4 linked regions of the Coturnix japonica genome follow. The protein of the gene in region 3 purifies or fractionates together with the protein of the main gene of each other region. This does not show direct contact. Links are inferred from orthologs where the notes say so. Each region holds a gene or a part of one and is shown on either strand. Other genes may lie near its edges.

The links.
Region 1: the proteins of RNF146 (region 3) and CHD1L purify together in Homo sapiens (co-immunoprecipitation; 3 studies listed by BioGRID and IntAct, counting the BioPlex papers as one, with this or other methods). This does not show direct contact. The link is inferred for Coturnix japonica from reciprocal best matches to the Homo sapiens genes RNF146 and CHD1L.
Region 2: the proteins of RNF146 (region 3) and PARP1 purify together in Homo sapiens (affinity purification with mass spectrometry; 4 studies listed by BioGRID and IntAct, counting the BioPlex papers as one, with this or other methods). This does not show direct contact. The link is inferred for Coturnix japonica from reciprocal best matches to the Homo sapiens genes RNF146 and PARP1.
Region 4: the proteins of RNF146 (region 3) and LIG3 purify together in Homo sapiens (co-immunoprecipitation; 3 studies listed by BioGRID and IntAct, counting the BioPlex papers as one, with this or other methods). This does not show direct contact. The link is inferred for Coturnix japonica from reciprocal best matches to the Homo sapiens genes RNF146 and LIG3.

What each region holds. Positions count from the first base shown.
Region 1 is NC_029516.1:72,144,706-72,152,583, forward strand, and holds the start of CHD1L (chromodomain-helicase-DNA-binding protein 1-like), read right to left. Parts: upstream 4,723-7,878; 5' UTR 4,707-4,722; coding exon 4,610-4,706; intron 4,041-4,609; coding exon 3,928-4,040; intron 3,274-3,927; exon of another isoform or gene 3,272-3,273; coding exon 3,165-3,271; intron 2,877-3,164; exon of another isoform or gene 2,825-2,876; intron 2,015-2,824; coding exon 1,900-2,014; intron 468-1,899; coding exon 436-467; intron 1-435. Other genes in the region: fatty acid amide hydrolase-like, read left to right, coding at 4,829-4,978, 5,058-5,114, 7,142-7,179, 7,847-7,878. UniProt on the Homo sapiens protein: ATP-dependent chromatin remodeler that mediates chromatin-remodeling following DNA damage.
Region 2 is NC_029518.1:14,820,435-14,827,624, forward strand, and holds part of PARP1 (poly [ADP-ribose] polymerase 1), read left to right. Parts: intron 1-1,981; coding exon 1,982-2,078; intron 2,079-3,393; coding exon 3,394-3,510; intron 3,511-4,011; coding exon 4,012-4,188; intron 4,189-4,618; coding exon 4,619-4,760; intron 4,761-5,187; coding exon 5,188-5,328; intron 5,329-5,697; coding exon 5,698-5,940; intron 5,941-6,741; coding exon 6,742-6,810; intron 6,811-7,190. UniProt on the Homo sapiens protein: Poly-ADP-ribosyltransferase that mediates poly-ADP-ribosylation of proteins and plays a key role in DNA repair.
Region 3 is NC_029518.1:53,755,390-53,763,114, forward strand, and holds the start of RNF146 (E3 ubiquitin-protein ligase RNF146), read right to left. Parts: upstream 4,612-7,725; 5' UTR 4,491-4,611; intron 4,410-4,490; exon of another isoform or gene 4,082-4,409; intron 1-4,081. UniProt on the Homo sapiens protein: E3 ubiquitin-protein ligase that specifically binds poly-ADP-ribosylated (PARsylated) proteins and mediates their ubiquitination and subsequent degradation. May regulate many important biological processes, such as cell survival and DNA damage response.
Region 4 is NC_029534.1:3,393,483-3,400,672, forward strand, and holds part of LIG3 (DNA ligase 3), read right to left. Parts: intron 6,761-7,190; coding exon 6,629-6,760; intron 6,112-6,628; coding exon 6,032-6,111; intron 5,598-6,031; coding exon 5,510-5,597; intron 4,983-5,509; coding exon 4,905-4,982; intron 4,330-4,904; coding exon 4,206-4,329; intron 3,804-4,205; coding exon 3,661-3,803; intron 2,868-3,660; coding exon 2,793-2,867; intron 2,209-2,792; coding exon 2,062-2,208; intron 1,017-2,061; coding exon 845-1,016; intron 157-844; coding exon 65-156; coding exon of another isoform or gene 30-64; intron 1-29. UniProt on the Homo sapiens protein: Isoform 3 functions as a heterodimer with DNA-repair protein XRCC1 in the nucleus and can correct defective DNA strand-break repair and sister chromatid exchange following treatment with ionizing radiation and alkylating agents.

The sequences.
Region 1 (7,878 bases), on a different chromosome or scaffold from region 3:
GCTGCAGAATCACTTGCTATCTAATAGATCCACTCGACTTAACACAAAGTCTCAGTACTCATTAATGCTAACAATGAGGATTTCAACTCCCACATTACAGAGTGACTTCCACACAGTTCTGGCTGATGGAGAGGCAGGGAGGGGAGAGCATGACACTCCAGCTTTTCTTTCCCACACACCTCTCTTCCCAGTAATATACAAGGGCTGGAATCATGTGGATCTATATTTTCCCCAGGGCTCTTTTCACATATATCCTAAGGGACATTAAGGGCTCTTCACTGAAAGTTGGGTAAAGGACTCTGATCATAATTGAAGAGCACATTTGGCTCTTGTGAAACATGGAGAATCTTGCATCTAGATAAACACACACTTCAGAAATCTCTGACAGACTTGAAGAATTAAATTTAAATAATAATAAGAAGAACCTGCACTCACCATTTGAGAAACGCTGCGTCTTTCATACAGATCTGCAGTGAAAGAAAACAAACTGTTACTTACAACTTAACACATAGTTCAAAAGAGAGTATCTTGCTCGCTAATTGCAAACTATAGTGAAATAGCGCAGGGTTGGAGTGAAGTCAGTTACCAAGGAAAGTAACATAACAGATAACGTAACCACAAGCTTTAGCAACTCTTCATTTTAATGCTTCTCTGGCAAAGCATCAGTAGTAAAACCTCAGAGAATTCATTTTCAGACAAGTCTGCAATGTTTGTTCGTATCATTCACACCCTGTAAGAAACACCATGCACCTTCAGTATTGTATTACAGTCTTCTTGATTCTAAGCAAATATGTGCTTCAGTGGATTAATCTGACCTGCTAATGTCCTAAAGTGCTCACGCTATCTGCCCAACTTCGGATTCAAGCAGGAAGAGAAACGGGGTCAATTGATAAGCTTAAGAAGCACAGAATTTTATCATCAGAATAGCAGAGACGAGAAAAATACAAGTTAAGTCTCCATATGGTTGATTGTTTTGCCAGCATTGCTTTAGTATAAGCACCTCCATTTATCACATTCAGTACAAGGCTTATCACTGCACTCCTGGCTTGTGCATAGTGGAAAAAGATGCAGGTTCAGAGCGATCAGCACAGGTCATGGCTCCTAGATGAAGAAAATGGTAAAATACTTGAGAGGGAGAGCAAAGGGGCAAAGGGAAGAGGAGATCAAGCAGGGAAAAAAGAAGCTGTGAGAAGCTTCCTCATTTAATTTCAAATTGATGCGTCTGTTAAGAGGCTGTTAAAATGAAATCAAAGCACTGATACAAAGTAACACCTGAGTGGAAATGAGTCATAAGAGAAAGATAAAGGCTTTTTTCCACTCCATATAACTAAGCACCAGGCCAGGCAGAACCCAAAGCAGTGATAAAGGAAGCAACCCTGCTGGTTCTCTGTAAGGTACTGACTGGATTCAGCCCCAAATTCCATTGATTTTTAATAGAAACCTCATCATTTTACAGTCTGGTTTTGGCTGAGGAAGGCAGGCAAAAGAGGAACAAACATAGGCAAGCTCTTTCAAAGTGTTCCTGCAGTGACCAATTAATAGAATCTTAATAAGCATCACGCATATATGTGTGATTTTCCATTAAACGCAGACGATCTGTAAGGCAGCACAGAAAGGCAATGAAAATACCAGGTAGCATCAGTTAAAGATGTTTCTGATTTTGATTTGTTTATTCAAGGTGTGATACAGCTGCGTGGTAAAGCTAGGGTCAAATTAGATTATCTTCAGGACACAAAAGCTGCAGCAACTTAGATGGGCAGGTGATGTGGGCTGCAGAGTAGAAAATCACTGGGCGAGGTTAGAGTACAGAGGGCAAGTGGTAAAGCGTCATGTACAGAGGAATGGAAAAGGCAAGGAAAAACCTGAGTTCTCTTTTGAAGCAACGAAGACAACGTGTACCTCATATGTTGTTAAGAGCACGTGGAAGTGAGGTTGCTCTTTCACGTTCTGCTGCAGTTTGTATCGTTCCTCCTTGTTGCCGATGTACGTGACAAAAGAGAGACCTGGAGCAAACCTGTCGTCAAGAGGAAGACAGCAAAAGAAAGACAGCAACTTATTCTCCTGGGAAATGTGGCTGGATCTCAGCTCTTGAATCTAACTCAAGCAGGAATTAACTTGCATCCCAGCTTAGCACCTCAGCTGCTGGCTCTGGTTTGGACAAATGCCATACTAACCGGCTTATCCTAGGTCTCAAAGCATGATGCAGATGATGGATAAACAATCTAATGGTCCATCTGTGATTCTTAACTTAAAAAGCTCGTGAGAAGCAAGTGATTCTCCAGCTGGGAGCAAAGAGTTGGTCCAGAGGTAGCTAAAGTACAGATGAAGACAGGGCTCCAAAAATCTAGCCCCCATAGTGAAAGCAGATAAAATCAGTTCCGTGGAAGAAGAGATGGAACCATAAAGTTCTTCCTCACTTAATCCCACTCCTAATGCCTGCCTATTGTTCCTCTGACATAGCTGTTCACTACTGAAATTCACCATATTAAGTCATACTAGACTGTACTTTTTCCAGCTATTACAGCTGCTTGTTTATCCAAATCAGGCCAGATCATTTCAAAATCTAACCTCAATGATTTTTGTTTCTGACACAGCGTTGCTCAACAACCACACAGAAATACATCTGTTCTAATCTACAACTTTCAGCTGCTCCTCTTAAAAGCAATGTCTGGGCTCAAGCCTAAAAACATACAGATTCTGGGCACAGCAAACGTACCATCAGATGCTGTACCCCAGTGAATATGCGTTGCATGCATGGATGTAAGGTATTTTAGATGCATGTGTGAGCATGCCAAGAAACACACTATTCAGCTTGGGGTCTTACCTTTTATCATACAGAATCCTGGCTGTCTTCAGCAGAATTTGCCTAAGAGAGGCTGAGCATGGGGGGTTAGAAAATAACACAGAGCTAGTGAGGGTATATCTACTGACAGTCATCCAGTGTATTGGATATAAGTTGGATGAACGCATGGGTATCACAGCACTGTATAGGCTATGGATTAACTGCAAGCAGCGTACACATCAATTTGTTGTTTGGTAGCTTCCCTCTTTATGTTTTATTTCCTTTTGAAAGGAAGAAAATTGCTAGACTGAGCATATCTGAAGAGAGTCTTTGAAACTCACCATTCAAGGCTATAACGAGTACAACAGCTGTTTAAACTCACCTCTCCAGCTCCTCCTTCCAGTTGCTCAGAACAGACAGAGGACAAAGTATCAGGGATCTCTCTTTGTTCGCTAGTTTTTTTGTCAAATAAAGAAGTAGTGAAATAGTCTAGAAGGCAAGGAAATAAAAAAGTATTTTTTAATAACAAGGAAATTCCTGAACTTGCATAAACTGTCCCCTTGAGGTTTATAGCTGATTTCCCACAAGTTCTCCAACGCAAATCAGAGCTGAGAGAACACCAAAGGAGATCCATCATCAGTGACATAAAAGCTGACGTCCTAAAACATTACCTCAGCATCTCTAACCCTCTTCCAAAGACATCCCTCCAACAGTCCCAGAGATCTACTTTCTAAAGCTGCCAGTTTGTTATTTAAGACCTGTTGTCTGAAACCAAACCACAGTCATTCACTCCAACAAAAACGGATCCCATTTAAAAAATAAAACTAAAAAAACCCTGAAGAGTATCTACATGGACTCAACTTTAATCCACATGTTGACAGACTCAAAAATCATCCTACTTCAGGTGTCAGAATGACACCATTGGCTCCATACCCCCTGTGTTAACTAGTTAATGTTATTTATAAGCTACTAAGCGTTGTTCAGAACCTCGCAGGGGTTTTATGTGATTAATGAACCAAAAGAGCTCACTCTTATGAATAAGGACTTCAGGATGTGGCTGCTTACATGCTTAGGGTGCTTTTTGCATGCTGTGGGAACCCTGAGCCACAGTTAAGGCAAAAGTCATATTTCAGAAGATGACACACCTGACAAGTCTTCCCAAGACCCATCTCGTCGCCCAGGATACAGCCATGCTGGACTTGGTAGCATTGCACCAGCCAGTTTACACCATCTAATTGATACGGACGAAGCTTAATGCCTGTGAATAAAAGCAATCTGTTAATGTCACATAGCCATTCAACACTCTATATGTACTGTTACAGATAGGAGCCACCAGAAGCAGGTCCTGCACAGTTCTGACCTTCCCAATCAGCTGCCTTACAGTAAAAGCAGCCAGGCTTCCTCCTAGAGCGCAGAAACACTGCAAGCTGGTTATATCAAACCATATTCAGGAACTTGTAGGCACAAAAATGCTCTCAAGTCACTACAAAGGCCTGTGTATGGAATCTGGTGAGATAAATCAGGCATTCCTGTCAGACAGACTGAATTTAGGGGAGGTTTAGGTTAGGTATTAGGAAGAAGTTTTTCAATCAGAGGGTGGTGACACACTGGAACAGGTTGCCCAAGGAGGCTGTGGATGCCCCATCCCTGGAGGCATTCAAGGCCAGGCTGGATGTGGCTCTGTGCAGCCTGGGCTGCTGGTTGGTGACCCTGCACACAGGTAGAACAGGCCCGTGGCCACTCGTATACACTGTGGGGGAGCACACGGGGTCGGTGTGCTCACAGCTACACACCACCAGCCTGGTTCCCGTCCCCGGTCGCACTGACCTGTCAGCCCCCATTGGCCCACGTCGTCCTGCTGCACTCCCATCCCTCCCTCCCGCTCCCTACCGGCACGGCGCAGCGCTTGGAAGAAGCGTGACATGGCGGGCAGCGCTCACCGAGCGGGAAACCCTCCGGTCCCGCCTCACGGGGGCGGGTTGACGGCGAGCACCGCCCCTCCGCCATAGCGCGGAGCCGGTTCCGTGTTGGGCCGGTAACGACGCGATGGAGCTGGCGTTGCTGCTGCTCGGGGCGCTGCTGCCCGCCGCCGCCCTGTACCTGTGCTGCGTACGGCGGTACACGGGCAGCGCCTCCGCCACGTTACACCGCCGGGAGCCGGGCCGGGCTGCAGCCTCTCGGCCGCCTCGGGACGCCGTGAGAGCGGGGTGGGGTGGACGGGGCGGGGGGCTGCGGGGAGCGGGTCCGGCGCTCACGTCTCGCCTCCTCTCTGCAGTGGGCACCGCGGCTGTGCGGCTTCTGGCTGCGGCTCTTCGTGCACACGGCCAACACGGTGAGCGGGAGACGGCACAAGATGTCTGCCGGGTTGAGCCGGGTGGTGTGGGACACCATGGGCATAGAGGAACTGGGATCGCTCAGCCCCTCAGATTGGACTCACATATGGAGGCTCCTATTGCTTTGGGGTTTGACTGGAGCAGGTGCAGCTGCAGCCGCTCGTGTGGGTGTCTCCTTCCCTTTGTGGGGGCTGCTGGTGTCGGCTTCTGTAGATGTAGAGGCTGGGTTTGGGTCTGCTCTGCTCTGCATCTTGCTTTGGGGTCGTACACAGCCTTGTTTTGGTGCATACCTGTCTCAGGAGCGACCTTGTGAGGGGTTTTGTGCTTGGGTGTAGTGACTGGAACGGCTTTCAGTTCTTTGCTTTATGGCTGTGTCTGGTGTGCGACACTGGGCTTGTTTCCTTTCCTGTCATCCCATTTGGATGGAGACGTAACTAAATGACCTTTAAGGTCCCTTCCAACCTATGCCATTCCATTTGGATGGAGACATAACTAAATGACCTTTAAGGTCCCTTCCAATCTATGCCATTCCATGATGGCATGGGCTCCTGTGCTTCACAACCCCAGGCAACGCTACGGGCTTGGGACAGAGTAACTGTAAAGCTGTGTGGAGGTAAAGGACCTGGGGGGGTTGGTCGATGCTTGGCTGAACGTGAGCCAGCAGCGTGCCCAGGTGGTGAAGAAGGCCAATGGCATCCTGGTTGGTATCAGAAACAGTGCATCCAGCACGAGCAGGGAGGTGATTATCCCCCATGTTCAGCCCTGGTGAGGTGGCATCTTTAGTGTTGTGTTCAGTTTTGGGCCCCTTGCTACAAGAAAGACATCAAGGCCACAGAGTGTGTTCAGAGAAAGGCAACGAAGCTGGTGAAGGATCTGGAGCCCAAGTCTTATGGGGAATGGCTGAGGAAAACAAGATTGTTCAGTCTGGAGAAGAGGAGGCTCAGGGGAGACCTGATTGTTCACTACAACTACCTGAAGTGAAACTGCAGTGAAGAGGCTTAAGCCTCTTCTCACAGGTAACAGCAATAGAAGGACAGAAAGTGGCCTCAGGTTGTGCCAGGGGTTGGTTCAGGTTGGATATTAGGTTCAGGTTGGATATTAGGTAATGTCTTATCAGAAAGAGTGGTGAGATGTTGGCAAGGGCTGCCCAGGGAGGTGGAGGAGTCGCTGTCCTTGAGAAACATTCAAGATAAGGGTAGATGTGACATCCAGGGACATGTTCTAGAGCAGTCACAGGCATGAGCTGATGATTGTAGTGGAGATTCTTATTGGTCTTTCCAGCCTTTATGATTTTATGATCCCCAGTCTCACTCTGGATTTTACTGTTGCACTGCATGTAGGTTAGGAGCAATGCCTTATCAGATAGAAATCAGTTCTTACACAACGTGTGAAGCAACATATCGCTTCACGTATGTAGGAGTGGGAGCCTTGCTTCAGAGTCACACTGGGAGGTGGAGCCGCACTCCCTTCACCTGTTTTGGAAGCTGATTCTTGGGCTGTTACAGCAATCTGGAACAAAGCTGATCTCCCTGGGACTGCTGGTATTGCTACACTGGGATCCGTGGTGTCCAGAGACTGCTTTCAGCTGCCTGCTGCCTACAGATCTCATGCTTTTCCAAGTTGACTCAGTTTACTGCAGGAAAGATGTTAACAGAGAGATAAATGAAATGATAGTAAGCTTCTGCCCTATCCAGTGTTTGCATAACTCTGAGCGCTGGTGGGAGCTATGTAGATGCCTCTTAACAGCACTGCAGCCTGCAACTGCAGGCTTTCTGGAGCTGAGTCAGGGAAGTAATAATGAATGTTCCTGCAGGATAGGCAGGAAAATACAGTCTTTATGATTCTATAAATGTGCATGGGGTGGGGAAAGCATTTCAGGTCAGTGTTGTGGCCTGAAATACAAGTGCGTGCTCTGCAGGGTGCTCGGAAACAGCAGCAATTGTGAGTGCATTTAGCGTTCCTTCCCTGAGGAAGATGCTCAGGTCAAAGCTATTGTAAATCAATGTTTCTGCTTATCTTCTTCTAGGCTTTTGGACAGATCTTGTTGCTGCCGCTCTTACTAAGGTAAGAGGGGAGTTTTATCTCCTCCAAGATTGTTTTTAAAGGTTCTTCCATTCCATTCCTATTAAAAGTTACCTGAAATGACCTTTTTAAAGAGGGAAGTCTCATAATTTGAGAGACAAGTGAGCTGTTATGCAGAAGATTGTTTCTTAACATCTATGATTGAGCTTGGATTTCATTGTTTTACTCCAGGCCCTGAACCTGTGCTGATCCAATCCCCGTTACATTTGATTGCAAACAGACTGTGTTGAGGCAGGTCATGGATCAAGTCTGAAGAGTTGCCTGTTCTAGCAGGCTTAGTGCTCGAATGTATGGCTTCCTCTCCTCTCCTCTCCTCTCCTCTCCTCTCCTCTCCTCTCCCTGTGCATGATGTATCTAATTAGAGTGAATGGGAAAACTTTCACCAGATCTTTCCCAGCTTGGATTTATGGAGGCTGGCTGGCTTTATGTCAGAAGGTGGGAGGCTCAGTTAAGCAAGCAGGGTAGATTTGGTGCTGCCTTCAGCGAGGCTTTAGAAAGGTGTGAAAGATTATTTTGTAACAGTTGCAACTCCCTGCTGTGGGAGCAGACTGCTACAACGAAATGTTCTTGGGTAAAATTCACTTGGAACAGCATGGAAATATTAGTCATGGAGAAGCTTGCATCTTCTAGCACTCTCTCTCTCTTGCAGGCTGAACAACTTCACCCTCATGCGTTCTCTTG
Region 2 (7,190 bases), about 39 Mb from region 3:
CCAGTCAGCTGTTTGTAGTTTGGATGCAATGTAACCAAATTCATCTACTTCTGCATGTATGTCCTGTGCTCAGCAGAGACGCTCTGACTGGGGCTGCTCTGTCAGCCCTTTGCACAAGAGTGATGAACTCACATGTGTGCCGCAGGTGAATGATACTGAGGCACTGAGCAAGGCTGGGATGGAAAAATCTCTTCCTTCTGAAGGACAAAAATGGGAAGGTTTTGTGCAAGGATCCAAGCTTCTTCCATTGGTTATTGCTGGATGAGACGTGCAGTCCTGCCCTGCATGGAACTGCTGCTCAGTACAGTAGTAAAGCCTCATTCTGGAGGTGTTGTCAGGCAGTGCCCAATTAGCTACAGATATTCTGAAGCAGGGAGTAAGTATGTGTATCAGCAACAATGTGCAAGTGCTTTACAGCGTGAGGAAAGGGGTCCCGGTTCCTTCCTATATCAGGTGCTTGCTTTGTCCAGGGTTACTGTGACTGTCCTTATGTCTTTGTTTTCGTTCTTAAAAGAACATGAAAAATCGATATGGCAGCTGTTCTGTACAGGCAAAGCAACCTCTGTCCCCTTGGCTCTGAGAAACTGCCAGAAGTACAGGTTCCTGCTGGGACTTGGATGCTTTCCCTTGGTCTAGGGGCCTCTCAGCAGGGTGACTTCCTTCCAGTGGTTTGGCTTTCCTCCTTTTGGGGGCAAGTTGCTGCACAGCCATCAACTTTGGTTTGCTGGAGGCACCCTGGCTCTCAGCCTGCTGAGGAGAGACACTGCAGATGCACGGTGTTTGGGCACCCATCCTAAATACTTGCATGATGAAGCCCTCTGGCTTGGGGAGGTGACTCTGGAAAACTGAATGTTCTTCTTATGAGGTCTCGTCATTCAGAATCCTGCAAAAATCCTTGGCTTTTATTTGGCTTCCTCTTTTTTCCAGTCTTTCTTGAGGAAAGTTTTCTCTACCTTCTCCGTGCACAGCTGTAATCAGCTAATAACAGTATATTTCCTCACACAAAGCTGCACAGTAGTACATCGTGTCACCACCGTCAGCTTGGGAGTACTCTGAAGGCAGGTACTTCATCCCATCTGGTTTCAAAAGTCTGAGTCAGTTCTGGTCTGAAGAGGATCTAGCTGGGAAGTGTTTATTTTTCTTGTATTATCAAAGTGATTGCATTTGCTGTCCTAGAATTGTTGAGTTTGACCAAGGAGTGGAACACCTCTCCTATGAAGAAGGCTGGAGAAGCTTCGATTGTTTAGCCTGGAAAAGAGAAGACTCTGGGGAGATCTTGCTGTGGCCTTTCTGTACTTCAGGGGATCTTATAAGCAGTGGAAACTGACTTTTTATATGATCTGATAGCGATAGGACAAGGGGGGGATGACTTTAAACTTCAAGAGGGGTGATCTAGGTTGGATGTTAGTGGGGAATTCTTTACTCAAAGAGCATTGAGGCACTGAAACAGGTTGACCAGAGAGGGTGTGGGTTCCCCATTCCCGGTGGTGCTCAGTGCCAGGTTTGAAGGGGCCCTGGGCAGCCTGAGCTGGTGGCAGCCCTGCCCACATCTGGGGGTTGTAACTAGATTATCTTTAAGATCTGTTCCAACACAAGGCATTCTCTGGCGATTCTCGAGTAGTCATAACCTTCATTGCTATCCCTTCTTATGTGTGAATAGGTATATGTATGCTCGTGGGTCCTGAGTGTGCCTTTGGAGTAACTAGTACAGATGTGGCTGAATATGCAACTCCCGGTGCTGTAGCATTTTGTGTGCTGTTCTGCCAGATCATCGTTATCCTGTGGAAAACCTCTAAGTGTGCCTGATCTAATTGAGGCAGCTGTTGTTGTAGAGCCAAGTACGTGTCTGTGATGTAGCACTGAATTTTCAAAAGTGGTCTTGCCACTTACTCAAGACTCTGCAGATATCAGTAATCTGAGCTGGACAGGCATTTAAATAACTTGTTTTCAGTGTGTATGCTCTTTATTTTTTCTCTCTTAGAAAGAGAAAAGGAGAAGAGGTAGATGGAAATGTGGTTGCAAAAAAGAAATCGAGAAAAGAAAAAGAGAAAGAATCAAAGCAGGAAAAACAGCTGAAGGTGAGTTTTAGCTGATTAGGTCCTAAAAACTGCCTTGCTAGAAGAATGCAGTGTCAGACACTGAGTGAAGAGCTGTGGTACTTGGAGAGGAACTGTACCTGCTGCCTAGACAAAGCAGAGTTACAGTACAGCTGGTCCTCATGTCTTTGCACAGGAGGTGGCCTGATGCAGAGCCATTGCTGAAGGCGGTTCTCCCTGCTGTTGTCTCCTGAAATACAGGAAGGAACTTCTCTAGCACTTAGGCTTATTGGATTTAAATAGATTAGGCTAAGTGCCTTCTCTCTCTCAGAGAAGCTGGTTTCGTGATCCTTCCTATTTCATCTAACTATAGTGGCTGAAGCTCTGATACCAAGCACTGTTTCGGAAGAGCTTGGTGACCAATTAATAGCTCACAGTAAAAAAAATTAAGCAATGGCAAGTGTGGAATCAGATTACTGAGAAGTTGTATCTCTCTCACCCTATAAGAAGCAGCGTTCAGTTGTTGAATACAAAGTGTGGTAGATCGCAGCTTTTCTGCCTTTTAATTTTGGAATGCTGTGGGAGAAATTCCTAATGGAGCTGTAAGAATTTTATATTCATTAAAAGTTCAGCACAGGTACTTTCCAAGAAAGAAAATAATAAGCAGCTTTGCTAAAGGTAGCGCTCAATGAAGTTGTAAAGAAAATGACATTTCTTCTCTGTCTAACCTTTTCACCTTTTGTAGAAAGGCCTAAAAGAATGTGCAGGCTTATCTGAGCCATTTCAGGTTTCTGATCTAGCAGAAATGCTTCTTATCCTGAGTGTCTTAAAATAAGGACAATGTCTTCCAGCACTTGTGGTTGTTATTTTAATACAAAGCTTTAATGAGGTGATATCCCCACTGTTGGCAGTGTGAACTGGGTTGGTGATGTTTACAGAGGCTGTTGAGAATTCACTGAGAGTAGGAGTGTGGTGGAAAAACAGGTTCCCCTCCACCTAAAAGCCAACTGTTTTACTATAAAAACTTATATCTTTTTGTATGGGGTAGTGCTTTAAAAGTTGTTCCACAGTCTTTCTGCTCACGTATATAATGCAGAAGCAGAAGAATCCGTAGAGCCAACCTTTCCCTTGTGATCTTCTAGTGAGAGTACTTCCAAAAGCTATCACGTGCGTATATATTCATAGTAAAATCTGAAGCATATGGCTTTAAAGACCTGATCTAGTTATTTGGATAAAATGTGTGGTTCTTCCAGTGGTGAAGCTGCTGGCTCTTGGTGCTCTTCACCATGCTGTGGTTATGGCGGGATGTTCACAGTGTCTGTCTGTGAGTACCTAAGCTGACAGGTTTTGTCCACAGGAGCAGACAGAGCTGATCTGGGGCATCAAGGATGAGCTGAGGAAAGTCTGCTCCACAAATGACCTGAAAGAGCTGCTGATCGCCAACAAGCAGGAGGTGCCTTCAGGGGAGAATGCGGTAAGTTGGTCTGTAGTCACTTTGCGTGTGTGCTGGGTCTTCAGCATCCCAACTGATCTGTATTTTTGTCACTGACTGCAAAAGCAGATTGGCTGTGGTGCTTCACATTGCCTCCTCCTAACTGTTACATTAGGCTAAAGGAAGCAATAACTTTTCTAGTTATTTTCTGGCATGCTTTCTTAAAAAAGTCACATTTCAGACTGTGTAATTTGCAAAAGGTCTCTCTCTTTCACAGGCACGTGTCACATGAAGCGTTTGTGTTTATTAAGGCTGTAGGGAGCGTGGGATGAGATGTGGGAAGTGTCTAGACTCAAAATGGCCGAGAAAATCTCTAGGCAGGAAAACGGGGGCTTGTCTGAGCCTACGTTCCCACCTACGTACTTGTGCTCAGATACAGTAGCTCATCTCTTCCTTTCCCTCTCCAGCAATGCTGTTTGGTGATGCTCTGTGTGGGGGTTATGCTTTCCTGAATGCCCAGTTTTGTATTCTTCGTTGTTTTAGATCTTGGACCGAGTGGCAGATGGGATGGCGTTTGGAGCTCTGCTTCCCTGTGAGGAGTGCAAAGGGCAGTTTGTGTTCAAGAGCGATGCTTACTACTGTTCAGGGGACATTACTGCCTGGACTAAGTGTGTGGCTAAAACACAGACTCCCAACAGGAAAGACTGGGTAATCCCAAAGGTGGGTGTTAACTCTACATGTGATGATCTGAAGCACGCTTCTTAATTGATGCTTCCTGTTGTGAGGAGTTTAGATGAGCAGCAGTCAGCGCTGGATGCTGGAGAGCAAAGTGTGCTGCAGTGCTGAGTGGCAGGGGATCCTGTTGTAGCTTCATCTCTCTGGAGGCAGTTGATATAGAACAAAGTCATCCCTTTTCCCAGTAACAGTAAATTAAAAGAGATATTACTGATTTGATTTGAAACCAGTCACTTACTCTCCTATAGCTTAGGTTTCTGAGTTAATGAAGTGGATATTTGCCTATCTTTATATAAGTGTCTCGGAAATCCTTTGAGACCTGTAGTAAATGACACAATCTGGCCAGTGCTTAAGTTGGCTTTTAAATGTTACAGTAGTATTTGTTGTTTTAATACTGTGTGATTCTGTCTCACAGGAATTTCGTGAAATTCCGTATCTCAAAAAATTTAAGTGTAAGAAGCAGGACAGGATATTTCCTCCTGAGGCTGCAACTGTCAACTCTGCGCCGCCTCCATCTGCATCTGCTCCTTTGACAGAGACTCTCTCTGCACCCCAAGGTCAGTGGAGTTCAAGGTGGTGTGTGATGCCATTCCTATCCAAAAGAAGAGGCAGGACCTTTCATGCTGTCCAGTTATCAGATGAAGGGCAGCTAAGCAAAGTCGCTAGCAGACAGTTCTGAAGCAGACTTAAAAAATAAATCAAAATTAAACCAAAAAAAAGAAATGCAAGCAAATAATGTGCCCACACATGCATCTTTTCCAGCCTTCCATTCATTCTGTTTGCTGTGTGTGCTGCGCTTTGTCATCTCCCTTAGAGAACGGGAGCTTTCTCCCACTCATTAGTCAGACCTGCTTGGGCTCATCTCCCTGCAGGCTGTGCTGATTGTTGTGTGTGTGGGATGCTGTCTCTTATTATTTGTGCTTATTATTTGTGTGGTGGACTCTATGCTTGTTGCTGATGAGCTGTTTGTTTTTGAACCCCTAGACAAACCACTGACCAACATGAAGATCTTGACTCTTGGAAAGCTGTCCAAGAACAAGGAGGAAGTGAAGAATATTGTGGAGGAGTTGGGAGGAAAGATGACAACAACTGCTAACAAGGCTACCCTGTGCATCAGCACACAGAGTGAGTAGCCTTGGCAGTCACTGATAGCACTAGATGCATGTACTTGATTAGAGCGCCTTGTGGGTCAGTGTTTGGGTTAGGGAGTGTGTTTGCACATGCATGAGGTCGTGGAAAAGTAAAAGGAAATGTGAGTTGTTTCAGTTTTACTCACCTAGCAAAAATTAATCGTGGGTTGTGCCATAAAGGCTGGACCAGTCAAGTAAAAATTAAGTGTTCCTGTTCTAGTTCAGTCTGCAGCTTTGTACGTGGTAGAAATGCATCTCCTCAGAGTTTTTCACAGTCCTGAATTGTTGTCAGAAGTTGAGGCTGAAGTCTTGAAACCTCACTATTTTTTGTTTGTTTGTTTTCTTCCCTTTCCTGCCTCTGCAGAGGAGGTGGAGAAAATGAGCAAGAAGATGGAAGAAGTGAAAGATGCCAAAGTTCGTGTGGTCTCAGAGGAGTTTCTTAAGGATGTGAAATCTTCCAGCAAGAGCTTTCAGGAGCTTCTCTCTCTCCATGCCATTTCACCTTGGGGTGCAGAGGTGAAAACAGAGCACCAGGAGGTGGCGGTGGATGGGAAGTGCAGCAAGCCCCCAAATATGAAGAGTGCTGGGAAGATCAAAGAAGAACAAGGTGAAGAATGAAGTTGTTGTTTCTCCAGGGGCCTGTTTATTGCTCTGTGTGCACAAAGAAAATCTGGGTATAGTCCAGCCTCATCCTTTCCTAGAGTTCTCTCACTGTTTGGTTTTTTTCCCTCCCTCATAGTAAATTTTAAATAATGAAGATTTAGGTAAGATCAGGTTTTAGTGAGTATGAAGTTATCTCTTGACAGCTTCTGTCTCAGTGGCACTTTCAGAATCATAGAATCGTTAAGGTTGGAAAAGACCAGTAAGATCATGTAGTTCAACTGTCAGCTCATCACCACCATGCAGTAGTCTTCACAACTGCCACAGCAACCTTGCATTATTCATGCTGGAATGTGAATAAAACCATTAGATGTGCTCAACTTCTTTTTCCATAGCCCCCAAGCTTTTAGCTTGTGTTGTTCAGTTTTGTGTTATTGCCACACAAACAGTAGAAGGATCTGCGTGAGTACTGAATGTCCCACGTGCCCAGTGAAGTTTTAAAATCCCACTTCAATACAGCCACAAACGTGACCTTCTGTCATGTAGTTGGAAAAATGATATTGGGGTCAGGAGGAAGGAAGGTAGATGTTATCTGGGGAGATCTTGGTTTTCATTTCCTTGTGGGGGGAGGCAGCTGTGAATTAGCTGCTAAAGGCAGGTAGAAAGCCATTGAAGTGCTGGGGGTATTGTACTGGGAATCTGATTTGAAGTCTCATTAAGGTAATAATTATGCAAATTGGGAATTTATATCTTGAATCAAGTCAAACTGTATTGCCTTTGAAGGAAAAATAACTTCTTATCCCTGCAGGACCTAGCAAGTCTGAAAAGAAAATGAAGCTAACAGTTAAAGGTGGAGCAGCAGTAGATCCTGATTCTGGTAAGTGCAAACAATAGCACCAAAGTCTTCAGGATGCATGGCTTGTTTGCAGCATTCTTATTTTTATCTTTCTGTGGAAGTAAAAGGGTTTGCAGTCATTGATGTAAAAGTTAAGGGGGCTGTAAAAGGAAGCAGAATTCTTAAGATAGCTTTTCTCACTATCGAAAGAAGGCTATTGATTGACACTTTAAAGCTTGGATGATCTAGGATATTCCAGTGCATCTTTCAGGAGGTTCATTTAAACTAAGCTATATTCATTTTTCAGCTTCAGAAACATGTTGGAGGGGTGGATAAAGACTTAGGCAGCAGTGCCTGGCATAAGCGTTTGCCTCAGGACTCTTTGAGCAGAAGCAACTGATGCTGCTTTCCAAATTGATAAT
Region 3 (7,725 bases):
AAAGGCTGGCTCACTCCTGCCTTGTCCTACCCAATGCTACACTACTGTGTTTCGGATTCAATGAGTGCTACTGCAAAGCAAACAGTATCACCATTGTAACAGTGTTGTACAGAGGTATGAGCAAGCAAAATACACCACCAGGGTCCTGTTAGAGAAATGGAATTACTATCATTTACCTGACAAGGGCTGTTTTCAATGTACAGAAATGTTATCATCAGGCTTTGTCTTATTTTTTGCAATTATCAGTTCTGGCCCACAGTTTGACGTCAATTATTTTGACACCTTAATTTATGCAAGTTATCTTTTCCTAAAGTATTACAAAAGGCAATTATCTTTAGCTATACTAAGTCAATGCCTCATTTCCACAAAGTAACTATGTACACAGAAGGAGAAATGAGATCAAAGATAGGAATACGTTATGTTAATGCAAATTTAGCCTCTAGTATTCGACTTCTTGCATTCTGGGAGTTTAGAATGTAACAACAGCTACCCAAATCCATATGCAGCAAAAAACCACTTCATATCCCATTATCCCAAAGGACCATCTATCTACTCTTGTATCTCGTCTCTAAACAGGCAGCTGTTTGAGGAGAAAACAGTGCATGTAAACGTGGGACTTTCCCTAGGCACTCTCCACAATTCAAGCAGTCTGTTGAATAAGGCCTTCCTTATAATATTTGCTCAGGGAAAGGATCATTTCAGCATAAATACAGTGCTTATAAATACATATCAGACTAACATACAGACTACAAAGAAATGGAGGAGCAACAACTCCCTGAAAGAACATGGAACACTTTGTATTACAGCCTTCTGTGCCACAGTCTATCCAACGTCTGAACGCTTATCACTAGCAACATCAGAAAGAAATGTTCAGATGACTTCTAAGACACATTACTCAAACATTATTTTCTTTACAGCTGAGCTTCACGTGGCATTCAGTGCAGCTATTTTTAGAGCCCGTTCCTAAGGAAAAAAATGCAAAAATTAACGTGCCTATCCACTTGTCCTAGCACCTTTTCGAAAGATGGTTCTCCCCTCATCGTTCCTTTGCACATCAATCTGGAGAGCTGCAATCACATTAAAATTCTGGCTCTACTAATCCGCTCAGACAAGATATGGCGTTTGCTATGATCAAAGAGACAGCTGCAACAAGCTCAGTGCTGTGAATGTGGCATTCAGTCCTTCATCTTAGGGCTGGCTTTCTATGGTACATCTGTGGGCTTCACTTGAAGCCTTTTATCTATTACCTCTTGCAATCCGCTATTAGAGGTAGCGCATTGTGAGACCAAATGTTATGTGGAGATGGGAGAAGGAGGTTGGGTCATTTCTGACAGATTCTTGGGGAAAAAAAAGTGTGTGCGTGTAGTTAACGTGTGTAATTATACCTAGAAGAATCCAATTAGGGCATAATTATAGGATTATGGCACAGCAACTTTGTAATTGCTGCACAGCTATTAAAGAGAACTAGTTCACATACTGACTTCAGGTAACCTCCGTGCTTCATTACATTGTTATTTATTTAATAAGCCAGTCCTAGAAATTTTACTAAACGGGATAAAAGACATCTGTGGTTACACACACACACACCCCTTCCTGGACTCCTGCTCCTTTGAAGTAAAGTGGCTGAGAGCCATGTTCTACACTTAGCAATTAACTTCCTATGCTAGAAAAGCATCTCATATGAGGAATTACGCTATCTGTGGCAACCTGTGAGTGTCCCTTCCTCACCAAGCCCACGAGGACTATTGCACACTGATTCTGAAACACTCAGCCCACAACAGATGAAGGACAATCCGACCCACTGGGAATTGGAATTTAAACTTGGCATCGCCAGCTGGGCAACAACTGGTGCCACACTGTGGCTCAGCCAGCGTTAACCACCCCTTGTTTCCTTGGCAGGCTGTCAGGACGCCTGCTAGGGAACCTCGTGCCAACTTCTTCCACACCGTGTTAGGATGCTGAAGCAGTGTCCCTCCTAGGACACCCGTCATCCAAAAACGGCATGAGGTCTTTGATAAAATCATCAAGCTTTCACTTGGCCAAGATGAAGTGAAACCATCTCCTGTCAGATCAGTCAGCTGCTGCCTATCAAATTCCCAGTAGCGTATCATAGCCAGGGCATTATTTTTCTCACTTTTCTACTATTTTGGAGACACAAGTGATAGGAAAAATAGCAACAATAAACACATTTCCAGAAACATAAGAAGCCAGATCCTAAATATAAGTGCACTGTTTGTTATTTACGGCCCTAGGAAATTTTTGTAAATAAAAGTTTATCTTCTTAGGAAAAGAAGAAAACAAAACACCACTGGTAAATTCAACTAAAGCCAGCTTCTCACTCGCTGAAGGCTATCACTTAAACCCTGCCTCAAATGAAAGGTGATCGCACAAGTTCTGCAACACCAGACAGACCACTTTACAACAGTTAGCACAAACTCATTCGTTGACTGCCAGAGGCTGAAAACTGAACAGGTGCAGCGCTACAAAAGAAATGATCAAAGGTAAACGTTCTTCTGTGATTCAATACTTGACTGTTACCATCGGGCTCCCTAACATATATCTCAGTTACTAAGGAAGTAGGGTGGGGGAAGGTAGAAGCAGAGGAAAAAGGATCCCAGAACTCTTCCCTATAGGACAGCGTGAGCCAAATGCTGGTAAAGGAAGGAAGGATGGTAGTAGTTGCTTTATGCTGGTGGTGTTCTGTTTCATAAGGGAGAAAAAATAATAATTATATATATATATGCATATATATATCTCCCATCTGGAGGCCTACTGTCACAAGTACAGTATTAGCTAAAGGTATGGAACCTGTCTGGTGTTTTTGCAACTGCCTGCAAGCATCGGACAGCACAGCAGGTAAATAATCTCACTGCCTCCTCTCTCTCTCTTAAAATACTTTCAGAAATCAATGATGTGATAAGGCTTCAAATTCCCTGTCGTTCCTTTAAACAGCATTACTACACTTTAATTTTAAGAAGCTTGTATATTGGTGTGGGTCCGAGTTACAGAAAAACAGTCAAGTGCAGAACAGTCAACCATTTTGATACTGAATGGCTACATATTTATTCAAACTGAATTTCTTCTGCTGTGCTATAACTGGGAGCCCGTGTCCTACTTCATTTGACTTAAGTGAGGAAAACCTCAGTTTCGCACTCAAATAAGAGGGCACTGACAAAATTCCTGTGGGAAAACAAAGCAAAAATGGGCTCATCTGAAGCTATCGCTGCTTCTGAGAGAGAAATGAAGTACAGGAGCATTGTGACATATAAATTAACATGCACAGAAGGAGGAAAAAAAATAATCATCGATTCCAAGAAAGATTTTTCCCCAGCAACACCAAGAGCCTTCCAAACCTTATTCGACAGCCTTCAAAAGTCCTGCAGCTTCATCTCTCTGGGCAATTCCATTACATCTACATGGATGTGGTGGATTTAAGAGGAAACAAAAAGAACAAAACTTTCACTCGGCCATTTAAACAATCGGTACTTTGATTCGCTTGGAAAGAAGCCACAGCGTTAAACCTCACAGGGCTATAAAGCAACTCTGCGCAAACATAAAATATTTAAGATTTACTCAAAGTGACCCAAATCAATATTCAGGTTTTACCGTGCCTTCGGTACAACCGCAAGTGATCACTTTTGGCTGTGCGTTTTCAGAGGCACTTGAAGGCCTATTTTTAAGCAACCCACTGCCCAGAGGCAGCATCTAACAACGCCGCAGCGCTGTACCTTCAGCGCTACCGATGTGACAGAACACTTTAGAGCTCCGCTCCCTATTCTCCCTTTTAATTACCCCCTGCACGCTGCGCTCCCAGCAACAAGCTCTACCCTATTTCTACTTCACGTCGCAGAAAAGTTATGCGAAGACGGAAATAAGACGCCTTAATTGGGGTTTCTTCACATGCAAAAAGCGGACATCCACAGCATGAAAAACCTCGTATTCACCGAGTATTTCGCAATCATTTGTCAGCGGTGACAATACATATAGCACAAAGCGCAGGACCTATTTTTCCGCCCCGCTTTACCACTCCCGAAGGATGCAATTAAAAACCTCGAGCACAGACACATGGAAACAAAAGCACCTGGCGGCACCGCTCGCAGCTCCTCACGCTCTTCCTGTTGTGCTCGCCGACATCCCTCGCTCCCCCTCCGGCTGCGAGGCTCGGCCGCTGACAGCGGGCGGACAGCAGCCGAGACCCGGCCCGCCGCCCTCCCCTCTCCGCCGGGCCCAGTGTTTCGCGCAGGGCCGCGGCCTCCTCCCTCCTCCCTCGATGGCGAACAGCGACGCCGCGGGACTTGGGCTCCAGCGCGGACAGGAGGGCGGCACCCGCCGGTCCTCGCCCGCCGCAGGGCCGCGGCAGGCCCGCTCCGCCCGCCGGCCTTTTGTTTGGGGCCGGCGCCTACCGCCCGGCCAGGCCTCGGCTCCCTCCCCGATCCCGATCCCGGGGCGGCCGCTGTCAGCGCTGACCGCCCACCCAAGCCGGGACTCACCCGCCGGGCCGGGCCGGCTCGCGCCGCTCCGCCGCCACCTGCCGCCGCCTCCGCGGGACGCTCCGACGTCACGGCCGGAGCAGAGCGGGGGAGGCCGCGCCACCGTGACGCCGCGGATCGGGAGGAGCCACAACCGGCTCCGCCGCTGGGGGCCGCGCTCGGGTGACGCCATGGTGCCGCGCCGCCACACCCCGCGCTCGTGATGCCGCCATGGCGACGGGGCCTGGAGCGCACCATCCGCTTTTGGGGGTTCGGTGTCTCCGTCGAACGGAGATTACAGGAAAATAAAGCACCCTGAATGAAGTGTTCTCAGTAATAAATAAACCCGCGTCTGTGTTCCGGGGTCTGACAGTTTAGTTCGACCGAGAAAATGCAGTAGTGAACGTATGGTTTCATTTTACGCTCGGTGAAGAAATGGTTAAAGGCAATATCAGGTTGTGCCGAAGCTGGTAACCGAAGAATGGTACCTGCAATAACATCGGCCTTCATTGCCAGCTTTAATTTCAGTCTAAATGCATGTTGTGTTCGCATCTTTGTGCTGGCTCCTGCAGCACATCGCCCCACGTCCAGCAGTGGTTTCCTTAACGTGCATTAGCTGTACCTGTCTATTGCAACTGAAAGCACCACCACTCTGTCTGCCTCTGCTTCCTTCGTAGCTCCGTGCCCTCCTTTGTTTCTCTTTGTTACCATTGCCTACAGCGTCGTCAATCTGGAATTCATGTCTGATACTTGCCACTACATTTTTAATGTGCACAGCGGCTTGAAAAGTAAAGATTCACCAGACTAGTCCTGAGAAGACACCTCCTCCCCTGGCAAGAGTCTGCACCCCCACTATTAATATTCTGCTGATGCTTTGGCAACTGAGAGCTATTAATCATGTTTCAGTCCTTCTATTTATAAAGACCTTTCTTCTGCTTCTTTAGATGTGTATGATACTATGTAAACCCTTGGAGACATGCAGGTATACTATGAGCTCAACCCCTGCTTGTGACATAGCTGGGGGAAGATAGGAGAAAACAGTCTCCTGCTGTGGCTTGAGTCTGTATCAAAATAGATTTTGGAGAAGCTCCAAGCTTCTCCAGGTCACAATAGAAGCAAAAGAGTAGGTGATTTGTGAATCACAGAATCACACAATGGCGTGGGATGGAAGAGACCTCAAAACCCACACAATCACAGCCCCCTGCCATGGGCAGTGCTGCCACCCACCAGATCAGGCTGTCCAATGGCCCCATCCAACCTGTCCTTGAGCACCTCCAGGGGTGGGGCATAAATGGGATAGGATATGGAATCGTTTCCCCTTTTCCTCACACCTACAACTTCAGCCACCCCTCTGAACAGAATGAGAAGTTGTGAATCCACCAATATGGCACTAGAGTGACAAGTGTGCCCCTGGTTCCTCTGTGCGGGCAGCCAGAGGAGGGGCTGAGGAGTGAGTTCCAAAGTGAAAACATTAAAAGCAAATATCCTGACAGTGTTTTGATGACACATTTGTTCCATGAAACCCTGTTGCTTGTAGCTCACTGTGTTCCTATCCTCTCAGCTGTTGTAGAGCTCCCCCCACGCGGCTCTAACATTTTCATTAAAGTGATATGTTGTTGCCATCACCAAAGGCTGGCTGGGGTATGGAAAATCTCAAATCTTCCTTTTTAAAAGTTAAATATGTTGTTTCTACAGTACTTGACACAAGATTGTCCTGTGAGTACTGTCACAGCAGTATGGTGGGCCAGAATGACAGTCACTGAGACAAACATACATCTGCATCAGCTCCCCAGAAGTGCAGTTGTTATGGTGAAGTGCAAGGCCTGGCTGGCTGCAAGGTGATCAGCAGCCCTCCAAAGCCTAGGCTTGGGCTTACAACTTTGGTTTTCATTTTGAAGAAATAAATAAATAAATAAATAAATAAATAAATAAATGAGAAATAAAAACAATGAAGAAAAACAACAAAAATCCACAACTACTGCCTTGTAATATAGTGCACTGAAATCCTTTATTTTCCTTACTGCAGTTTCCCAGAATTGAAACTTACTTCAACATCTTCATCACTGACCTGACAGAAATCAGTAAGTTTCTTGACAATATGTGGCAGGAAGGAGACGCTGACACACCAGAAGGCTGTGCTGCCATTTAGTGAGATCTGGACAGTCTGGAGAGTTGGACAGAGAGGAACCTGATGGGGTTCGACAGGGGCAAGTGCAGTCCTACACCTGGGGAGGAATAACCACATAGGAATAACCACATACATCAACACAGGTTAAGGGCTGGCCTGCTGGAAAAGAGCTCTGCAGAGAAAAACTTGGGTGTCCTTATGGACAACAGGTTGGCCATGAGCAAGTAGTGCATCCTTGTGGCCGTGAAGGCCAGTGTTTTACAGAGTGCATTAAAAAGGGTGTGGCCAGCAGGTTGTCAGAGGTGATCCTCTCATTCTGCTCTGCCCTGGTGAGGCCACATCTGAAGAACTGTGTCCAGTTTTGGGCCCCCTGTTTCAAGAAGGACAGGGATCTCCTAGAGGGAGTCCAGGAGAGGGCTACAAAGATGATGAGGGGCCTGGAGCATTGTTCTTATGAGGAGAGGCTGAGAAATTTTCAGAAATTACATCTTCTTGTAAACTAGCTGGAGTCACAAGACCTTCGATGAAAAACTATTAGAGCTAGAGCTATTATGCCTACATTTTATTTTAATGGAAAGAAAGCAAAATATCACAAATGTGCTGCAGTGATCATCATCTTTCATTTAATGAAATGGAAATTGCAGTTTCCTTTTGTATCACTAGGTGGTATATGGTAACTGTGGGGAAACTGTGTTCTTCAAACTGTGTTGGTTGAATAGAGGTATTTCTCTCCCAGTCCAGCTAATGTACTGAGCAGATTCCTGGACTGCAGACTAAATGTGTGCAAAACTATTCCTGACAAGAACTAAAACTTGTACCAAACAGTGGCTGTAAGAAGGAGCTTCTTTTTATGACTTCACTAGTCTTTTCTCCACAAAGAAGGAAAAGAAGACAGAGTTGTTATGATAAAATATGAGAAGGAAATGAATGTCAATCAGTGCTTAAAATAATGCCACCACATTAACCGTTGTGCCATTTTTGTCATTATTACCTCTGTGAGACACTCAAGATGGGACTGTTAAATTAAGGCTGATGTTGCAGATGGAAACTATGAAATATCACCAGCTTTCACATTTGTTTTATAGTGTTCTCGGAGAGTATAACAGTGTAGAGCAGAAAAGTGTGTTT
Region 4 (7,190 bases), on a different chromosome or scaffold from region 3:
GAAGGTAGTATTGAAATGTCTCCACTTACTCCCACCTGAGTGGTTGCTGCCCAACTGTCCGTACCTTCTTTCCATTGTCTTCTATCTCAGATGCTTTTCGCTTCTCTCCTCGTTTCTCCTCTGCCTTTTGAGGGGATTCAGCGACTGCTTTGGTGCCTAAAAACAAGGATGTATCTCACTGTTCCTGTCTACAGCCCAGCTGTATATTAAAAGGAGGCAAAGAAAAGCAAGGATATGGAAAGGTAAAAGGCTTTCCCAATCTGTTCTGGAAAATCTGTGCATTAGAACATAACTGGTAAGATGCTGCTTTCTACCACTAATGGTAGAATTCATCAGGGCATCTTCCTGCCCTTCTTTCTCTCCAGCTGACTCCATAGCTCAGCCTTCCTCCTTGCTGTCACCACACCATATTTCTGGGATTGCTCAGAAATCTGCTACAGGTTATTCTGCAGCACATGGCTTTGCAGTCTACTATCTGGAAATCCCCTCCAGGTGCCTTGCACTGTATGTATGAACTTAAGCCAAATAAAATTAAATGCTGGTTCATGGCCAAAAGTATCTAACTGAAGGGCATGTAGCTGCAGGAACAGGAGCAGCAGGTTTGCTGCTCAGACCAGTCTTACACAGTCTGTTAAGGACTGTGATTAAAGATAAAAAGGAACTGCAAGTCCCACAGAGATTACATCATGTTTAATTTTGGTGGTGTCTATAACTGAGACACCAACACAAGCCAAACCAAGGGTTGAAACCAGCTCTGCCCATTAACTAAAACATCTTTATAAAAGCAGCGCGTAGAAGGTGAAGAACACATCCTGAGGTTCCCCTCCATGGGGAGAGGCCTTACCTTCTGGTTTCATGGCTTTTGCAGGGGACTTAGGAGGAGTTTTAGTCATCTTGTGTGGTGTGGAAGACCTGGAATTTCCCTCATTCTCTCCACTGCTGCCAGCTGTGGACTCCTCCTCCTCCCCAGCAACAACACTGAAATCAGCCTTTTCTTTGCTGAGTTGGTACAGCTCCTGTCCGAGCAGAAACAAAACATTCCCTTTAGCCAAAGTGAAACCTCTCATAAGCGGACATAAGCAGTAATTCATGTGCTCCTCTCACTTTCTATCCCCACCCCATGAAGCATTTGCTCTTACGTTTTTTTCTTCCTGCACCTCTTTGTCACCATTTTTCTGTCAGCTATGTTCAAGCTCTCTGCTCTCTACCCAGCAGCTCAACATTAAGAGAAGCCACACATTAATATCATCTACCAGTAAGCAAGTCAGACTAACTCCTCAGAGCCTGGCTCTCTGGACTGAAAAATGGCCAACATCCAACATTCTGTCCGAGAGTATTTTACCTCTCTTCCCCCCTACCTGCACAGTGAGCCAGAAACATTCCTGCAGAGAGACTGAATCCTTTCTTCGATGGCATGACAAGCATTTACATCTGCTGTCAGTGTCCCTGTAGGCAGTGCGAAGACAGCCCAAATGACAATGACTAGACTGAGAACAGAGCACATGGGCAGCTGACTTACTGCTTGGGGTGGCACCAGGCCAACTGGTTTCTATCACTGAAGGAGGCATAGAAGCTGCATGGGGCAGTGCAGCCCTGGAGCAGGGCAGACTGCCATTTGGCCCCTGTGCTATGGAACCAGGCCAGGCTACCCTTAGTCACTTCCCAGATGCCTCCTGCAATCTCAGCAATTAATGAGAAACCGAATGACCATAAACATTTAAGAGAATTAAGGTCAGCTCCTTCAGGAAGGAAATTGCTCACCATGAAGGCAGTTACAAGAGCTGATAGAACTAACTGCCAGCTAAAACCTTCCCCAGAAGCACACAACAACAGCTCTCAAGACTCAAGGAGAAAGAGAACCATGGAAAAAAATAAGATTCACATCAAAATAGTCCAGAAAACAACTTGAGCCTAGAATAAACGGAACAAAACACGCCACTGGAGGTGCTAGTCAGCAGATGTCCTCAGCACATACCCTATCAGAATTTATCTTTTAAATATAGGCTGCTGTCAGAACTTATTTGCAAGCACGCTGCAGAGAAGCAAGCCATGTTAACTCACCTTCAGCTGCGGGAGGTTGGTGGCTGCCTTCCAGTCCTTGTCATCTCGAATGCGAGTGCAGCGAGGGAAGCGAATGGAGATCCCATCTGCAGTGTGGGCTTCAGCTTTGGAGAACTCAGCCCCTGTAATCTCCCACACTGGGGCTTTCTAAACACAGCAGCGAGGAAGGAAGCTATGTCACATTCTTGTGTACTCTCATGAACTAAACTTAATGCATCTGAGTTCCTCTACTTCTACAACATCTTGCTCCTGCTCCCAGCACAACAAAGTTCCATGTATATGCTTTCTTAATTAAGGTGACCAGGAGGCTTCTATTTATTTTGCATTCCAGTGAATTGAGATCTTCCATTAATACATATTGCCAATTTCCTCGTATCCTATCACGCATAAATGGCACAAAGCACCCTGTTAAATTTAGCATAACAAGAGTAGCAACTTCTGGGTAACAATTGTACTTCAACTGACTTAACTGTACTCTAACTGCTTCTTTTCAGTAAGTTCACTTCTGGGAGGGATTTAATGTACAAAAACATTTCCTAGAGGCGCTGCAGGAACGATTGCCTCATGAAGCTCTTAGTCTCAAATGCACCTGCAGGATTCAGAGATAAAAACTCATGCTTAAATTCCTCTCCCAAGCATGAATACTAATTTCGTAACAGGTATAATCTGTACAATTATATAAGAAGTAGGTTGCTGTATTGGGCTGGGAAACATTTCATGACAACACTTACCTTTGGATCTGGGACAATGAAGTCTGGGTAGTAGATTTTGTTAATTTTCAGCCAGCTTGGGATTTTACTGGGATCCTATTAAGAGCACAAAAAGAAGATAACACCTGTGATCATACAGGAATCGAGTCCAACAAAGGAGGCTGCTGAAAGATAATGGCATAGTAGATTGGCAAATATGTATTTAATTGCCTTTGTACAGATTAAACTTGCTGAAACTTGCAGTGCACTGATCTGCAGCAATTTCTCCTCTAGAGTCACAAAAGATTACCTGCAACACAGCTGCTACTCACTGTCATGCCATACAGAACACCACTATGTCCCTCCAATTGTAATTCATATGAAATCACACATTTTTAAGACTATAACCTGGATGCCAATGGCCTTCAGGATCTCAAGTTAATATTAACATTCAGCTGTTTTTATGCTAGGTCTTGAAAAACCAGATTTTGCACTTTGATGCAAGTCTCGAAGTTCAGCACTTCTAGCAGCAAAACCACATCCTGACTGCCATTTCTCACCACAGCCCCATCCAGTGGCTGTCTTCACCAACTGCAACATGCCAAGAAAGTTCTGCTTCTCCCACTAAAACTGCCTCAGCAGGAACCAGATGGTGCCATAATTCCTGCTCAGTGTTTTGAGTACAAATCTCAAGCAGTGGCTCATCGTTAGGAGATGGCCACACCTACCCCTCAGTTCTCACATACAGGTTTATAGAGAATTTACCTGATTTAACTCAAAGTGAGCCACTCTTTGCTCCTGGCAAAGCTCTTGAATTCTGCATTTAACCAACACACAGCTCAGCAGGAAGATGTTTTTACCAAGTCCTGTGCTGAGCATTCCTCTGCCTCCCTGCCATAGCCCATCTCACCTTGCTGATCTTCACCATGTCCAGCTCTGTTTGCAGACGGGCCAAGGTGGCGTCGTCGTGGCCACCAGCACACTTGGTCACAGTGCACCACTTCTCGCTCTTGGGGTCATAGCAGCCCATGAGGAAGATGGACATCATCCCACCTTGGGGAAGGGAGAGCACAGCAGTTCATATCTTCTACAGGACAACCTACAGCATTTCAAAAATCAAAGTAATGAACCCAAACCCATCTCCATGTGGGAAATTTAAGGCCATCGGTTCGAGATGGTTTCTCAGCATCAGTTCACACACAAAGCTGAACAGAGAGCCTTGTTACTGTATGAAAGGCCAACCCAAGACTTAATGTTTTTTCTTTGCCAGCCATGCCACAGTGAAGCCAGGCAGCCTGCAGTGGCCTCAGATGTGATGGGCTGCAACAGACAGTCACTATGAGAGCCACTCTTATTGCAGCAGGAAAACAAATGCTACAGAAAACCTGGAAGAGGAAAAAGCTTAGGATTTTCCTGAACCAACCAATCTGACTTAGGTTAACACCAGAAACTTACCTTTACTGCCTTTCCCATAGAAAGCTCCCAGCACCACCAAGTCAGCTGTGTCAGCCATTGCACCCTCATTCAGGTAGTCCTTTTTCACTTTCAGCCAGTGCCGCTTTCCTGGTTCATAATTACCCTGTGCAAAACAAAGCAAAAACCTCCCAGTGAGAAAGGAGATGACTTTGTAGGCAGCCATCTCCTCAAACAGCCCTTGCTTTATGAATAACAGAGCTCTGCAGTGCTCAGATGTACAGGAAGTAACCTGGATTGGATATCAGCATCTACAGGAATCTAAAGGTGTTTCAAGACTGCTCAGCTGAGTATCACACCAGGGAGAAGCAGCAGAGCTGTGATTAAAATGCAGTTCTGGTTACCAGCTCAGTGATCTGCTGCTGGACTGTGTCACACTACAGGTGCATATAAATTGAATTGATGGTGCAAAGACGCATCATGAAGCTCACAAAAGTAGAGCTCTGTCCAGATGGCAGAAAACAGGCAAGAGAAGAACAATACTAAAATCCCAGAGAAAAACTACAGTAACTGAGAATCAGGTAAAGTTACTGTACATCCCCTCCAGGCACCATCAGAAACCTCTTAAAGCAGAATAGGGCTGAAGTTAAACTCACATTAAGTAGTTCAGTATTAAGTAGAGAGGTCTGTTCTTCCCCCTAAATCCCAACATCCACCAGTAAAGATGAGATGCAAACTTACCTTTATATCTTTCAACACCAGTCCTTCCAGTCCCTCACGGATGACTCGGGTGATCATATCTGCTAGATCTGAAGCTTTCTGAAAAGGAAAGGCACTGTGCTAAGCTCAAGCCTGTCAAATGGCTGTATTGCTCAATCTCTCCACTTGGAGCAGTAGAGTATAAGGCTTGTGCCTAATGATCAAAGAGAAAATTGGGCTTATTGCTGTCTAAAATGCAGCTTTAAGCACTCAGAATGTATCTGTGCTACAAAAATAAAGAGCTTGGAGTGGCCAGTCTGGAGACTGGAAGCTCTGCTCTCTTCAGTCATTGTTTAGTCTTCTCTATGCAGCACAGTAGAGGAAACTACGACAGGCTTTAGCTGCTCCGAACAACAAAGTTGCAACCTTATTAAGAAAGCCAAAAAAGATATGCACATTAAAAACATACTAAAGCAGCTGTAGCTGAGACATCAGCCCAAGAAGTTCTGCACGCAGACCAGAAACAGCCTATTTTGACAGGAACTGCCAGATCAGCAGCCTTAATTATACAAAGGGTCACATAGTAAAGGACCATGGAAGTGCTTACAGTGCAGTGTTAAATTAAACAGCAGATGTGGTCAACTCACTGTGACGTGCTTCATCTCTGAGAAAAGGATCCGGTTGGGGATTTCAACCATGTTATCATGTAGAAATTTACGACGCTCACGCAGAGGCCTAGGACAGAGCACAGAATACTAAGGACATAAAGCAACCTCAGCGTGGAGCAGCAGGCACGTGAATTTTCAGAAGGTATATTTAAACAGTTAAATGACTTATCCCATAGTTTCAGAGCAGGTAGTAAATTCTTTTAACGCTCCTTCAGGAAGAAGCTATATAACAAATCTATGATAAGAATACTTAGCTTCAGTGACATGAGTGGAGCACTGAAACCCACTGAGTTTAGCTGAAATGCATTTACTCTGATATTTTGGAACAGCAGAGCAGGATGGAGCACCAAAGATTCCCCCATGCTCTCTTAATCTTACAGGAGTAAACAGCCAAGCCTTGCAGCCAAAGCGAGCTGCTCCCTCTGCAGAGGTACTGCAACCCAGTAAGTCCATGCTCAGCAGCTTAGCAGGCTGCTCTCACACCGTGCCACACATACATACCTGTCCATCAGGCTGACGTCGTTGAAATAGATGCAGTCAAACACAAACAAGCAGACGTTGGCATCTTGGAAAGCAGCTTTCTGCAAAACAATCAAGATGAACTGAAAAATCTCACAGCAGCAGGGAGTTTTAAAAACAACACACAAAAAGATGCTACTTCTGTAAGACTGAAATATTCTTAGAACACACATTTAGAACAAATGTGTCAAAGCACAACACTCTTATGGATTACATCCATGTCTGCATCAGTCTGGTCTCCTGATCTGCTATGCTTTTCTATAGGCAGCTATAAGCAATCACAGAACTGCAAATTCTTCCAAGACCTTTCTTCTTTTAAACACTTACCATAAGCTGCAGTTTTCTCCCTATCCTGCTTCTGATCAAGTTAATATCAAATCTACTGTATTATAAGGGTACCTTTTCTTTAATAGCAGCCTTCCCAGGGATCTTAGATTTCCCCCCACATTCTCTGGGAAGCACCAGCTCTCTTACATTATTCTGTGATAACTGACCGCATGCCAGTGTGTTTAAGACAGCAGAATAACAGCCTCTGGCCACAAAGGACTTGTTTTATATATACGTATATATAGATTTTACCTTATGTACACCAAGAGATCCAAAAGGAAGTGGTTTGCCAGTTTTATTATCAATTAGAAGAACTTCTGAATCCAGGATCATACTGTGCCCACCAGGGAAAGCCTGGGGAATGAAGTCCTTAAAGTGAGCTACCTTGAGGGAATAGAACACAGAAAGGGGTCTGACTGAAGAGATGGACTCACTGCAGTGCAGATGCTCTCTCCAGAAGCGTCTGAGAGATGCGTGTGCATATTTTCTACTGCAGCACAGACCTTAACATCATCTATAAATAGAAAAAGAGACTTGAACAAATATAACAAAGTCACTCAACCGGCATCAAGCCAAACCAACTGCAACATATAAAGAGGACTCGAGAGCAGGTAGGTTAACTGTAGCTTCAAGGTCTTAAAAGACACCGAAACAAACTGATTACAGTTCTACTAAGCATTGGTTTTTTAGATTTGAATACTTGTAGGAATTAAAGAAAAAAAAGCAGACAACAGAAGGTATCCTCCCTGCCCAGAGGAACCTGTGAAACCCACTCATGTTTATAGGATACAAGAACAGACAATCTGCAGGTGCT